Arabidopsis thaliana: one gene and its partners. The protein of the gene in region 3 interacts with the protein of the main gene of each other region in a pairwise test. Each region holds a gene or a part of one and is shown on either strand. Other genes may lie near its edges.

Region 1 (4,649 bases), on a different chromosome or scaffold from region 3:
GCATTGTCTTCCCGAAACCGCCGGCTTGAAACTTGGTTGTACTTCTCTAGCCTCCAGCTTCTTCCAGTTTATCGCCTTGAACCATTTGTGTTTTTTTATCTCCTCTGCTCCGCTCGGTCCACTTCCCAGTCTCCTTTCTGGCTCTTTTTGCAGCAGCTATAAAATTCATTACAAAGTCAGAATCACACTGGTCTAAACCCAATATGCTTCATAGTACACAAAGATTCAAAATAATTCCTCATGTTTGTTTACTTACCCCTTTCAGCAAGGCATGAGCTTCATTAGACAGAAACTGTGGAAGCTTGATCTTGTCCTTAACGATTTTCTGCTGTATCTTTCCTTTGCTCCCGAGAAACGGCGGCTGCAGAAGGTAAAACAAATGGTGTCACAACACAGTTTCAATGATCACCTTAGACATTAGGCTACTATGGAACCAAAAAAAGAAGAAGACATTTTACCTTTCCAGTGAGCATCTCATACAGAAGGATTCCTACACTCCACCAGTCGGCAGCCTTATCATGTCCTTTTCCACGAACAATCTCAGGGGCCATATACTCCGTAGTCCCACACATGGAGTTTGATCTTGTGTTTTCTTCAAATTCTTTTGCTAAACCAAAATCAGTTAACATCACATGGCCATCTACGTCCATGAGTATGTTTTCAGGTTTAAGATCTCTATGCATTATGCCTTTCTCATGGAGATGGGAAACTGCAGAGACGATTTCTGCAGTGTACACACGAGCCAAGTCCTCCCTGTGAAAAACATAACATATGATTTAGTCAAGCCTCGCAGAATTCTGGTGAAACTCCAAAACTAGTTCAAAAGGAATAAAGCCAAACCTGAAAAGCCCTTGGTGATAGAGCTGGAAGAAAAGATGACCTCCGTTTATAAAGTCAAGAACAAGATACAATCTGTATTTGGTCTGCAAGAAGAATGTAAAACACTAAGTTAGGAAGTACTTGAGAAAAACCAATAGGATGCAAACAGAGAGAAGTTGGCTTTTACCTGAAAAGAGTATTTAAGTTGCACAATGAAAGGATGATCGATTTTGGTTAGAATATCGCGCTCGGCTTTCATGTATTCAGCATGATTCTTCTCAACAATTTTATCTTTTCTCATGACCTTCATCGCGTATATCTCAGACGTGTCTTTTTTCCTCACCTGGTACACTTTTCCAAATGCACCTTGTCCCACAACCTTCAATACCTCAAAGTCCTCAATGCCTACTACACCTGAGACCTCCTCTGGAGATTTCTCACTGTCAGTGTCATCATTACCAGAGAATTCATCGTTCTCTTTTATCGATTCACCTTCAACACACTCCACCAAGTCAACTGAGTCCTCAGTTTCTCGTAAAGTGAGCTTGTTCATCTTCAAAGAATGGCTAACAACCAAAGACGGGCCAACCAATGAGTGGGATCGACTGTAGACAACAGCAGGCTCGTCGTAAGCAACATCACAGGCCTCTTCAGAGTTAGCTTCAGGCATTGGTCCAAAGACATCAGAGAATTGAAGCTCAAGGTTATCACCCAAGACAGATTTTGGAGGGCTGATGGATAAAGATAGATGTTTCTGAAACGGCTTCCCAGTCTGGTTTTTGTTTGCAACAGAACACTGAGAAGAAACCATATTTCTAACCAATCGCCAAAAGAATCACAGAGGAAGCTTCACAAGTTCACCAGATGGATGAGGCTCTGCTACCAATAAAGTTAATGAGGAAGAAACTGGGAATAGGCAAACCAATATCTAGGACAAGAAGCTCTTCTTGTTTCCCTATTTTAAGGAAACAGTGGATGCTGCACAAGTGTCCCAATGCCATCAAAGTACTTTAAGCGCTGCAGTTCATAAAATTTCACAAAGATCAGATCACATAATTGACCAAATATAATAAGAGACGGATATGGAATTAAAATAAGCAAGCGAAAAGATTCTTTTTCAATTACCAAAGCTAAAGTCAACAGAATTGAGATTAAGAAAACACGACACCGACCGAATATCCTTTAGATGATCATCCCCTCCCAAATAAAACCCCAAAGCCTTAGAATTCCAAAATTTCACCAGGACACGAGGTCGAAAGAAACCCTCGAGGAAACGAACTCTAATATCTGTAATTAAGACCTAGTCTATATATTAGGGAAAAAGCTGGCGCATAACACAAGCAATTTTCAAACAAATCCAGATATAGAGTAAAACTATGACCTGGACCTAGAAGGTTTCGTGTCGTGTAAATAATTTATATCCAGAAAAAAAAAGAATCTAAACTCTGCGAGAGAAAAGTCAAAGAGAGACAGAGAGAGAGGAATTACCAGAGAATATGCTTGAGGAAGGAGACGAGAAGGAGACGAGACAACTTTAACAGGAAAGAGGGTAATGTGCCAAACCAAAAAAGGAAAAGGTTTTAAGAAGGCGCGTGGCTACATTTTTTATGTCTTCCGAAGCATCGTGGATCATGGGGTGAGGACACGTGTTCGTGTTCTATTGGGAAACCGAACTTCTTCTTTGTTTTAGTGGGCCGGAATTCTTTAAGCCCATTACATTACAAGACGTTCAGACGGACACTAGTTCGGTCCAAAGGCATCACCGTTATCATCTTTTATATTTACACGTTTTCAACGTTCTTTTATATTACATCGTGGGTCAAAAGGTCAAAGTGTTAGCTGCTCTACTTAATCTCAATCAATAACAATCTCATAAAATCAATTATAAATTAAGCGTCTTGGTAACCAAAGTTTTCTTTAATGTTCATGTGTCAGAAGGAAACAACAACCAAAGAAGTAGGAACTACATAAAAATATAGTAAATCTACAAAGTAGTTGTGGACTGGTGAAGGAATGAAGGAGGAGGCCTGACGTAAGTGAAATTGGTAAAAGGGTTGGCCTTAGGATCCGAACTGGGACTGCTCGCCGGAGAATCCAAAACAGACATGTCAGTCCAACACTTGTCAAAATTTGCTATGCATTGCCTTCCCGATACTTCCGGCTTGAAACTTGGCATCACTTCTCTAGCCTCCAGCTTCTTCCAGTTTATTCCCTTGAACCATTTGTGCTGTTTTATCTCCTCTGCTCCGCTCAGTCCACTTCCAAGTCGCCTTTCTGGCTCTTTTTGCAGCAGCTATACATTCATTACAAAGTCAAGAGTCAGAATTGTTCTAAATACAATGCTTCATAGTTCTTAACTGCACAAAGATTTTCATGTTTACTGTTGATTCTGTAATCAAACTGCACCAACATTTACTTACCCCTTTCAGTATTGCATGAGCTTCATTAGACAGAAACTGCGGAAGCTTGATCTTGTCCTTCACAATTTTCTGCTGTATCTTTCCTTTGCTCCCGAGAAACGGTGGCTGCAGAAGGAAAACAAGACATCACACAACAATATACCAAGACATGAGGCTTCAAGCAAATTAACAATAGATAGCGGCTTTTACCTTTCCTGTGAGCATCTCATACAGAAGAATCCCTACGCTCCACCAGTCAGCTGCTTTATCATGTCCTTTTCCTCGAACAATTTCAGGTGCCATATACTCCGTAGTTCCGCACATGGAGTTTGATCTTGTGTTTTCTTCAAATTCCTTTGCTAAACCAAAATCTGTTAGCATCACGTGGCCATCTGTATCCATGAGTATGTTTTCGGGTTTCAGATCTCTGTGCATTATGCCTTTCTCATGGAGATGGGAAACTGCAGAGACGATTTCTGCAGTGTACACTCGAGCCAAGTCCTCTCTGCGAAAGAGTAAAATATAGAACCAATTAAGCTTTACAAAATTCTAGCGAAACTTCAAAAATGGTTCGCAAAAAGGAATTAAACAAACCTGAAAAGCCCTTGGTGATAGAGTTGGAAGAAAAGATGACCTCCGTTTATAAAGTCGAGCACAAGATACAGCCTGTACTTGGTCTGCAAGGGAATGTATAACGCTCTAAGTTAAGAAATAGTAAAGTAAAATAAATAGGATGCTAACAGAGAGAAGTGTTATATATACCTGAAAAGAGTATTTAAGTTGAACAATGAATGGGTGATCAATTTTTGTAAGAATATCGCGCTCAGCTTTCATGTATTCAGCATGGTTCTTCTCCATAATGTGATCTTTCCTCATGACTTTCATAGCGTATATCTCAGAGGTCTCCTTTTTCCTCACCTGGTAGACTTTCCCAAACGCACCTTTCCCAACAACCTTCATAACCTCAAAATCATCTATGCCTACTACACCTGAGACTTTCACCAGATCTCCCTCTAAAGCTTTCTCATTGTCACTGTCGTCATTACCAGAGAAATCATCATTTTCTTTTAAAGATTCACCTTCGAGACACTCCACCAAGTCAATTGAGTCCTCAGTCTCTAGTAAGGTGAGCTTGGTCAGCTTCAAAGAATGACTATCGAGCGAACACGGGCCAACCAAGGAGTGGGATCGACTGTAGACAACAGCAGGCTCGTCGTAAGCAATATCATTGGCCTCTTCGGGGAGTGGACCAAACACATCAGAGAACTCAAGTTCAACATCATCTTTCAAGACAGAATTTGAAGGGCTGATGGATAGATATTGCTGTTTCTGGATTTTGTTGGGGACAGGACGCTGAGAGGAAACCATAATTTACACGGGAAAAATCGATACAGAATCACTGAGAAAGCTGCAAGAGTTCACCAGCCTGGA
Region 2 (4,649 bases), on a different chromosome or scaffold from region 3:
GGTTTGTTAAATTTATTGCAAAATCTATATCCCAAATAAGCTGCAAACTAGGATGTGTAAGATTATACAACATAGAACAATACTATAAGCAAGTAATCATAAGCCCAAAGGATTAACAGAAACAGGAAGTAAAGAAAGAAAAGACAATTTTGGACAGGCTACCATACACACATACAATGCAACAGCAAAAATATAAGGACAATAGTAATGCTAATAATAATTAAAAAAATTGTTTAAATGCATTAGAAAATAAGGATTTTTTTTCCAGTATAAGGATTTTTTCCAGGAGACTCACTTTCGTAGACATTCATCATAAAATCCATAAACCTGAGTAATCTGCGAGATGGAAGAAAAAGAAGAAAAGCCTGTGTCAGATTAAAATAGTAATATGATAAAAAAAATGTGCACAAAACGAATTTTGTAGACAAAACAGAGACTTATAAAAAAGGAAATTGTGTGTCAACCAAGATCTCAACGATGGAAAAGACTGGATACACAATGAAGTACTGTATTTAACATCAGAAGGTGAATTTACAAGTGGAACCAGAGTAATAAAATCATAAAGCATTAGTCTACCTGACGACTTTCATGGTTTCCTCTAAGAATAGTGATTCGCTGAGGATATCGCATCTTTAAGGCGACTAACAGCTGGAAAGAGAATAAGAAAGAGAAACAGTATCAGCATACTTCATAGTCACACCCAAAATATATACATTGTAAAGAAAAAAATATCCGTCAAGTTAATGGTATCTTGTTACCAATATAAAAAGACAATGACTGGCTTGCCAATCAGCCTACTCTTAAATGAATAAAAAAAGGAAGTCTAAATATTTCATCTTCGTACCGTAACAGTTTCAACAGAATAATAACCACGGTCCACATAGTCTCCCATAAACAGGTAATTGGTATCAGGGCACTGCAAAAAAGAGAAAATTAATACTTTGTAAGATTGGTAGAGCTATTTGTAGAGCTCTGTATATTTTATAGATGTTACCATTCCCCCTATACGGAAAAGCTCTGCAAGATCATGGAACTGTCCATGAATATCACCGCAGATTGTCACAGGGCTTTTCACAGGCTGCATGCAGGAAATAGAAAGAACTAATAAATTCATGGCTAGTAGCACAATCTACCACACTGAAAATAGAATCACCAAGTGTGGTGAAAGAAATTGCTCAACCAAAGAGATATGCAAGACCAGGAACTAACCTGAACATTGCTTTCATCCATTAAGATCTCCTTGGCTTTCTCGCATAATGCTCTAACCTAAGGAAAATAAAACAATGCTGCATATGATTTTCACCTCTTTAACACTCTCAAGACATGCAGCTAATAACCACTATCAAACACATGACATAGAAATATATACTTAGAGAAATCAACTTGACACAGGCAACAAACAGGAGCATCAATTAAGAAAAAAAAAAAACCAACAAGTATTGATCAGCTATTGATACGAAAATATTAAAAATTTATCAGTCCATAAGAATCCCGATTGACATTACCAGGCACATAAAAACACGAGCTTAGATGTGATTAATCACTATGCTAAGAATCCAAATCAGCCAAAATTTAACATCAAACCATAGAAGCAAAGCCAATTCTCCAACCCATAGAACTGCGGTGACAAATGAGCTTCCGTGAGAACATACATGCCAAGATCTAATAACATTTCCTGAAGATGTTCATTTAGAAAAAAAAAAAAAAATCGAAACTTTCCAAATCAAATCTGATAATCTCGTACCCAAAGAAACCTCAAACACAGAAAAAAATACCACTCCACTCAAAAAAACAAAAAAAACAGATCCAATCATCGATAAAAACAAAGTAGAGAAAACGTCAAGGGCTAAGGTCTAAAGAGAAAGTTGTAGGCACCTGTTGCTCCGAGAGAGGCTTGCACTGCATGAGCTGCGAGATCTGCTCATCAAGATCAATGGTTGCGTCCGTCGGAATAGAATTCGCGCCCATTTTCGTTAATTCGTCTCTCGTCCGATCCGGAAAACAGATCAGGAAACAGGACTAGGTTTCCAAATTAGGGGAAGTCCTAACCCTAAATTGGATGGAATCTGCGTATTCTTCGCCTTTTTTCCCCCACTTTCTCTCTCTCTCTCTCTCTCTCTCTCTCTCTCTCTCTCTCTCTCTTCTTTGTCTCTTCGCTTTGTGTGCAGTGAAAGAAGATCGAATTTTGAGAAGGCGCGTGAGGAGAGAAGCGAGTGGTTTGTATCTTTCGAGCTCTTTCTTTTGCTATTACCATAATACCCCTCTACTTTAATTGGTGCAATAGCCATCACCGGTTTAATACTAACTTCTACGGTTTAACTGAACCGGTTTCAGCTTATATAATCGTCTCGAGAGACTTTTGCCTTCGCTTCATAAAGCTCTCTCTCTCTAGTCTCACAGTCTCGCTCTCTCTTTTTTATCTCTGTGATGGCGACGAGATTTGATACCGGTGAAAGTATTGGGTCGGGGAAAACTTCGATTTCTCGGGATGAATTTGCAGAAGACTCGCTAAAGATCGTTTCTTTGCCGCCGGTTGAGAACGACGACTCTGTTGAAGAGATGATAAGCCCAAAGAAGCAAGTAAAGTCTTCGCCTTTTACTTCTGTTTTTGAGAAGGATGGAGAAATCATCCATTCGGATTCTATTGACATTTCTTTCTCCGAAACGACTCTTGAAGAAACCGTGGCGATGAATGTGGAGTGTCCTGGAGTAGTAGTAGTCTCTGTACCTGAAAATGGTTCCACGATTCTTGAAGAGAATAAGGTTGGTGAAGAGATTAAGGAAAGCTCTGAGATTTCTACTACAGAAGGCGATCGACTTGGAGATGATGTGCTCAAGATAAAGGATGTTGTTGAGACTGATGGGTTCGTCGTATCTATCTCTGATATGAAAGAAAGTTTGAACTCGGAGAAGAAGGGACAAGATTCTGATGGTCAGAGGATTGTGGAGGCTGAGAAGATAATATTGTTCGCTGAAATCGGAGATGGTTCCACGTTTCTTGAAGAGAATAAGGAACTGCAACAGATTAAGGAAGTCTCTGAGATTTCTACAGAAAGTGATCAATTTGGAGATGATGTGTACAAGATAGAGGATGATTGCGTCGGTTCTATCTCTGATATGAAAGAAATTTTGAACTCTCAGAAGAAGGGACAAGATTCTGATGTTCAAATACTTTGGGAGACTGAGAAGAAGAATGATGGGGACACGCTCGCTAGGGCTTCTGATATCCATAAGATCGAAAAGAATGGAAATGGGTCTAAAGATCAGCGTGAGAAGGTGGAAAGAGTGAGAGTTAAGGATAATGCATTTGTTGGAAGATCTGTGAATATTGATTTGGTTGATGATACTGCGTTGTTTGATGTTGTTCCTTTCTACAAGAAAGGTAAAGATCATTCTAAGAGACCAGTAACTGCACACACTGATAAGGATGCACCAAGAAAGCATAAGAAAGTTGGAGTAGAGAAACCGATTGATAAGGGAAATGCTTCTAGCATTGTTGAAAGGAATGCGTCAACCAAAGTTTCTGACTTTCGTAACAGTGGAGAAATGAATGGGAAGCAGTTGCGGATAATGTACTCTAGGAACCAAATGGAGTCGATGAGGTATGCCCACATTGCGAATCAGAAGAAACTGTGGAGTGACTTGTATGCTAGACTCCTACCTGAGCTGGTGACTGAGTACGAAGGTTTGAAGAATCACAAGAGTATCCTCGGTAACCCTCCACTTACTTTACTTTTATCTTAGCTGCTGCATTTTGTGGTGTTGCCTGTTTTTAGTTGAACATGTTGAGGAAACTTTTAGGTCTAATAGAAATATGTCACTCCAAGTTAAGATTACTTAGCTCATGTATAACCTTAAGCTATATCTGCTGCATTTTTGTTTGTGTGTGTCACTCAAATGGCTTTTTCTTTGCTACGGTTTTATGGTGATTTCCTTCTCTAATGGTCATCTCAAAGTGACAAATCCAGTCGGGCTTAGTGTCTGCGACTCTTTCAGCAGTGGTTGTTCCTAAGTATCTTTTTGATAGGGGCCGTTTGTTTTCTTTTCCACAGGTCCCATATCGGCTGTACCAAGACGAACCCGTCTCTTTGTACATTGACCTGAAGAAATCTGTCGAAGCCTGTGTTTCATAAATCCTGTGTTCACCAATTTTTCCTTTTCTAAGAAACAATACATTCTTTCTGTATATAGATTCTTTAGTTCAGATTGTTTAAAGGGGTCTAGAGAGTTTGTTTGGTTCAAAGTGTGTATGGCCATGATTTTATCGGCTAAAAAGTTGTACATGTTCATACATCTTCAATAAAAATCAATACCTTTGAAAGCTAAATCTTTTTGATGGGCTTAGTTCTTTTCTTTGTTTTTATTGGTTTCTTCAATAGAAATCAAAACTGAGATTCCAAGAAAATGTGACTTTTTGTTTCTTCATGAGAACATTTAGGCAAGGAATTGATGACTTAACTACTTGAAGAAGACTATGTTGTAAAAGAGGAGAAAACTGAAGATAATGACGATTACAATAGCATTTTGAGGCCTGCGTTTGCTGTGGATGGAGAACCTGATTTCGATTCTGGACCACCAGAAGACGGGATTGAATATTTAAGACGAGTCAGGTATATATGTCACTCTGTTTCAATCTTTCTGTGTATCTG
Region 3 (4,649 bases):
CAGTCACACGTTAGTATTTTACTAGATATATACATTGTATCTTTAGTAGTCGGCGTATTTAAAAATAATATTCCCAACGAAAATGAAAGTGAATCCGTGAATCCAAAATCTGTAAGTCTAAGGCTTAAGAGTAGAAAGATGATTACATTACAGACATTATAATAAGTGAACGAAGAGGTTTTGGAAATAAGAAACAAAAGAGAGGGAGAAAGTGTTAAATAATGTGTGTCTCGGTCTCTAGTCTCAGCCACAAGGTGTGAGTTTCTTGTTACCTGCACCGCGAGGATTATCATCCTTCCAATCATCGAAAGCTCTAGCTTTCATCACAGCTTCTTCGTCTTCATCATCATCTTCCTCGTCTTCTTCTTTTCTTCTTAGAGGTTTATCATTGTACCATGAGGTGGTTGCTTCTTCAATGGCTTTTTTCGTCTGCTCTTGCCAATCATTCATTATGTTCATCTCTGTTAACCCAGCATCCTCTATGCACATTGTTGGCATCCTACAAAACCCAAGTTTAATCACCATTTTTAAATCTCAAAAAGGATTAAGATTTTGTAATGAGCAATATTTTGTGTCTACCTGTGACTTGGTTGGAAGACCTGAGCTATCATTCTTTCTCTCTCGGTAGAGAGCGGTCCACCCACGATGCTTGCTGGACCGAATATAAGAGGTTGGTTCTTGTGTTCGTGACCTTGTGATACCGAAGCTCTTCCTTCTAACACATCTTGTGCAAATGTGGCACAAGTGATTGGTTGTGCCGGTTTAGAGTACTGTATCCTTGCAGCAGCGTCTCTGTGCCAGGTTTCAGCTTTCTTTGTACGATCATCAAGAGCATCCCGAGAAAATCCACCCTCTCCATCCTGATCAAAATATCATAACACGTTTTCTTCTTTTATATGTTTATCAAATAGTTTTGTTCGCACCTAAAAAAACTAACACCACGGTAAGCTACCTTCAACTGTCTTTCCTTTATTGCAGAGAGCATTTCCTCTTCTCTCTTTAGCATTTCCAACAGATCAATAGCCTGTAACGAAGTTCAATCATAAGATAATGCCTCCTCAACTTGTGACAAATCATAGGGTTCTAATGAAATGATTTTTAGACAAACCTTACAAATAGCCAAGTTAATTGAGGAGAGCCAGGCCTGCAGAGGAAAGCAATAAGACAAGAAAGCTTAGAAGAAAAAATCGAATTAGAGAAAGCAGCAAAACAAAAAGTGGGACAAACCTCTCTCTCTTCTTCGCTGTCATCATCTGGAATATCATCTTCTCCAGATTCAACCGGAGTCGACAAAGCTGATGCTTTAGTGGAACGTCCACGTCGCTCCTTCCTCTCTTTAATTTCAAGAAGCTTTGCCTCTGCAGCCTTTTGACGTTTGAACCGAGCTATCTACAAAGTACCATAATCATGAAGACACAACACGCATTTCAAAATCCGAAAACTTTAAACTTCATTCTCGTCAGAACATAAACAAAAGAAACAGGGCTGAATCTACCTTGAGAGCCCTTCGATCAGCAGGTGCACCAGAACCTCCTCGTGAAGAAGCCTCCAACTCCTCATCCGGAACAAGCTCCATTGCCTCACAGAACGAAAAGAACTCCTAGACACAATAACAAAACTATACATCAATCTCAAAAAAAATCCAACCAAATGCTCATTCCCACTTGCAATAGCATCAAAGGGATACAAAAACATGTAAACACTCAGCAGAAAACTAACCTTCAACTTAGCATACGAGGCTTTGACAATCTGAATCCGGTCCTCCTGTATGATTTTCTCTGTCAACTCCGCAAGATAATAAGGCACCTATAATCACAAGACAATATAATCCCTCGTCACTTTATAGAAATGTCAACTCGCAACACAATCTTATGATCTCAACACAATCTTATGGTCTCCACACAGAGTAAGTTCAATGGAAAACGTTACAATCCAAAATCTCAGACTCCATTTTGAATTTCAGTCAGTAGCTAAAACTAGAAGCATCAGGACAAGCTAAAGTTTTTCACTTTCAGATCTTTCCACACCAAAACTAATAACAAAACTAGAATACAAACAAATTACAAAAATCCAAACAACAGAGACTCAATTGCATACCAAAAGATATTTGAGATTGTTGGTGCTAATATCTTCTTTAGTCTCGTTAGACGAAAACAGCGCCAGCTTCCCGATCATATCTTCGCACTTCTGAAACATCTCACATCCTTTCTTCACAACATCCTAACAAACCAAAGGAAAAGAATGAACTAAGCATCCCCGGAAATGTCCAATTCAGTAAAAACTCGCGATTCGGATTCGAAATACCCATTTCAGATAAACACCCTAATCGAATCTGTATATAAAAAAGAGGTAGAAGCTTCCACCTGATCAACACCAGACTCTGAAGCAGCAAGATGAATTTTCCTAGCTTGCTCGAATAGCACCGATAAAGGCATTTCCTCCATAGCCAAACCACCCATCACAGGCAACAATTCAAAATTCCTTAATGAAATCGAATCCACAAGAATCGAGTTTCTTCGAGAAGAGGATCGTCTTTTGAATTTTTTTAGGGTTCCAAATCGAAATCTGACTAATTTACCACGAGTACACACAGACAGAGGAGAGAAAATGTTAACCGCGAAGAGCTTTATAAGGGACGGTTGAGATTTTGCCGCGTCAGGTGAAGTAGATAACTCGAATTCTATTAGCCGTTAGATCTGTCCACAACCTCAAAAGTCAAAAACCGACTCAGTTGTATAAAAATATCAAGTCAAAGATCAGGTGCGGCGGGTGTAGTGTAAAACCGCCACGAATGTGATTGTGGCTATGGTATATGAATGTTTACTGTTTTTTTTCTTAATTTGAATGGAGATGAAATTTTCTTGATTTTTGTACGAGTAGGAGTATGAATAAACTAGTATCGCACCCGCTGTCTAAGCAGCCCGAATTGTCGTAGTGTTATTGATTCGATCGACCTATAGCAGTAAGGAATGGTGGATACCGATAACTAAAGCCACCTCAATCGCGGTGAATCAGCTGGATCCAAAGATTTAGGAACATCCAACAAACAATTCATGAATCGAAAACGAAGAGGTGCATTGATTGAACAGAGCTTACTATATATACTATATATGACTGTCACCCATTACAGTCTACATAGCTTGAAAGGGAAATGGATACAGAACTTAAATGTTTGACTTTCACGCATTTCACTCGACATATCTTCAAGAGGAAAATGAATTGACTGAATAAACTGTAGTATGCTATATACACAGCACAATAATCCGCATTATTTAATCTCTCACGCACACCCGCGCAGAGAACAACAGCCTCCTAAGCGACCAAAGCTAGAGGGATGCTTCAAAAGTTGACCTGAGATGAGAACTGCAAGTTGAGAGAAACTACTTGCCAGATCTAAAATAAGATAGTCATATGCGATTCATTAGGAGACTTTGGGAGTGAATGGTTCTTACTTCTTACGAGAATTGAGCCATACGGCAAGAGAAATCTCAGTTACGATGATATTGGATGGCTGGGTAAGGGTAGCGAGTGGCGACTTGGCTGAAAAAAGGTTAAATTTACGTATTGAGAAAAAATGTGAAGAGTAAAAAATTAAAGAAAGTAGTTGAGGATGTTTATGAGCAGAACCTGAGTAACCCCAAAAGACTTGTCGTCACCCATTTTTTCAAGTCAATGAAAATGCCTGCGAACTTGATCACGATTATCTGATATGAAAGAACAGAAAGAGAGTATATATGGTTTAGGGATATATAAGAAAAGACAAATGTTGTGTTCACTTGTAAAGAGGACTTACCTGAGATATGATAGTTGAGGTTATTGTAACGAGAAACATATTCTCTCTAAGGACTTCTTTGAAGGTTTGGTCTACACTTTGGATTTCAAACTCATTAAAAACCTGCGTTATTTTAGAAAGATAGAGAGATGATCAACATATGAACTCTAATTAGAAGAGTGGGAAAAAATCAGATATTACCAGGTAGAAGACAAAGGAATTGAATATCAATGTGTTCATCATTTTTTCGGCATTGCCCGTCTGACCATGCTTCAGCTTCAGTAGCTTCTCAGAATTTATGAGTACCAGCGAGAGCACTAGGTAAAATACCTGGAGGAAGGTATTTCATGACACAAGCATTATTAGAGGTCTCCAAACCAGTGTGTTTGTCTCTAATCTAAATAATTAATTAGTTTAATATCACCAAGGAATTGTATTTGCTCCTTGGAAACTATGAAGGTGTGAAATACTTAATCTGACATTAACGTCCACACATGATCAATCGAGGATTTTACCCTACATACCTGAATTATCATCTTGGACCACATCGTCTTGGTTATAAGAGGATCTCTGAAAAACAAAAAATGTACACATGCATATGTACTATCAGTTTGTGTATATTCACCTAGAACAGATAGTGTGTTTTAACAAGAATTGCAAAACCAACAGTTTCTTCAAAACCTTCAGCATCAATACATTAATGTCTCTTTCTAAGCCAACTCTATATTGACTTAATAATCAAATCTTATCCTTGATCCTATTCAGAATTTGTACCTTATACCAACCGGTGGCTTTCCCATTAGGTGGTGATCAGATCTTGGTCTGTATGCCAAAGCTAATGCTCCTAAGATGTCGATAATTAGATTAACCAACAGAA

Evidence for each region.
Region 1: the proteins of TAP46 (region 3) and S6K2 come close enough for resonance energy transfer, tested with the Arabidopsis thaliana proteins (one study listed by BioGRID).
Region 2: the proteins of TAP46 (region 3) and PP2A-3 interact in a two-hybrid assay, tested with the Arabidopsis thaliana proteins (one study listed by BioGRID).

What each region holds. Positions count from the first base shown.
Region 1 is NC_003074.8:2,648,778-2,653,426, forward strand, and holds the start of S6K2 (serine/threonine protein kinase 2), read right to left. Parts: upstream 2,455-4,649; 5' UTR 1,945-2,454; intron 1,837-1,944; 5' UTR 1,631-1,836; coding exon 1,007-1,630; intron 924-1,006; coding exon 841-923; intron 754-840; coding exon 459-753; intron 362-458; coding exon 257-361; intron 157-256; coding exon 1-156. Other genes in the region: PK1 (protein-serine kinase 1), read right to left, coding at 2,804-3,112, 3,240-3,344, 3,429-3,723, 3,813-3,895, 3,981-4,586. UniProt on the Arabidopsis thaliana protein: Downstream effector of TOR signaling pathway. May be involved in adaptation of plant to cold or high-salt conditions. Mediates the phosphorylation of MRFs (e.g. MRF1).
Region 2 is NC_003071.7:17,699,259-17,703,907, forward strand, and holds the start of PP2A-3 (protein phosphatase 2A-3), read right to left. Parts: upstream 2,160-4,649; 5' UTR 1,969-2,159; coding exon 1,876-1,968; intron 1,267-1,875; coding exon 1,210-1,266; intron 1,079-1,209; coding exon 995-1,078; intron 940-994; coding exon of another isoform or gene 917-939; coding exon 845-916; intron 649-844; coding exon 577-648; intron 337-576; coding exon 296-336; intron 1-295. Other genes in the region: AT2G42510 (survival motor neuron interacting protein), read left to right, coding at 2,428-3,685, 4,053-4,082, 4,469-4,610. UniProt on the Arabidopsis thaliana protein: Functions redundantly with PP2A4, and is involved in establishing auxin gradients, apical-basal axis of polarity and root and shoot apical meristem during embryogenesis.
Region 3 is NC_003076.8:21,485,411-21,490,059, forward strand, and holds the start of TAP46 (2A phosphatase associated protein of 46 kD), read right to left. Parts: upstream 2,633-4,649; 5' UTR 2,460-2,632; coding exon 2,364-2,459; intron 2,221-2,363; coding exon 2,098-2,220; intron 1,807-2,097; coding exon 1,720-1,806; intron 1,601-1,719; coding exon 1,496-1,600; intron 1,390-1,495; coding exon 1,228-1,389; intron 1,145-1,227; coding exon 1,109-1,144; intron 1,025-1,108; coding exon 953-1,024; intron 861-952; coding exon 580-860; intron 500-579; coding exon 244-499; 3' UTR 1-243. Other genes in the region: AT5G53010 (calcium-transporting ATPase), read right to left, coding at 3,489-3,540, 3,628-3,704, 3,794-3,895, 3,974-4,102, 4,297-4,342, 4,547-4,649. UniProt on the Arabidopsis thaliana protein: Involved in the positive regulation of the TOR signaling pathway. Acts as a negative regulator of PP2A catalytic activity. Plays a positive role in the ABA-regulated inhibition of germination, probably throught its interaction with ABI5.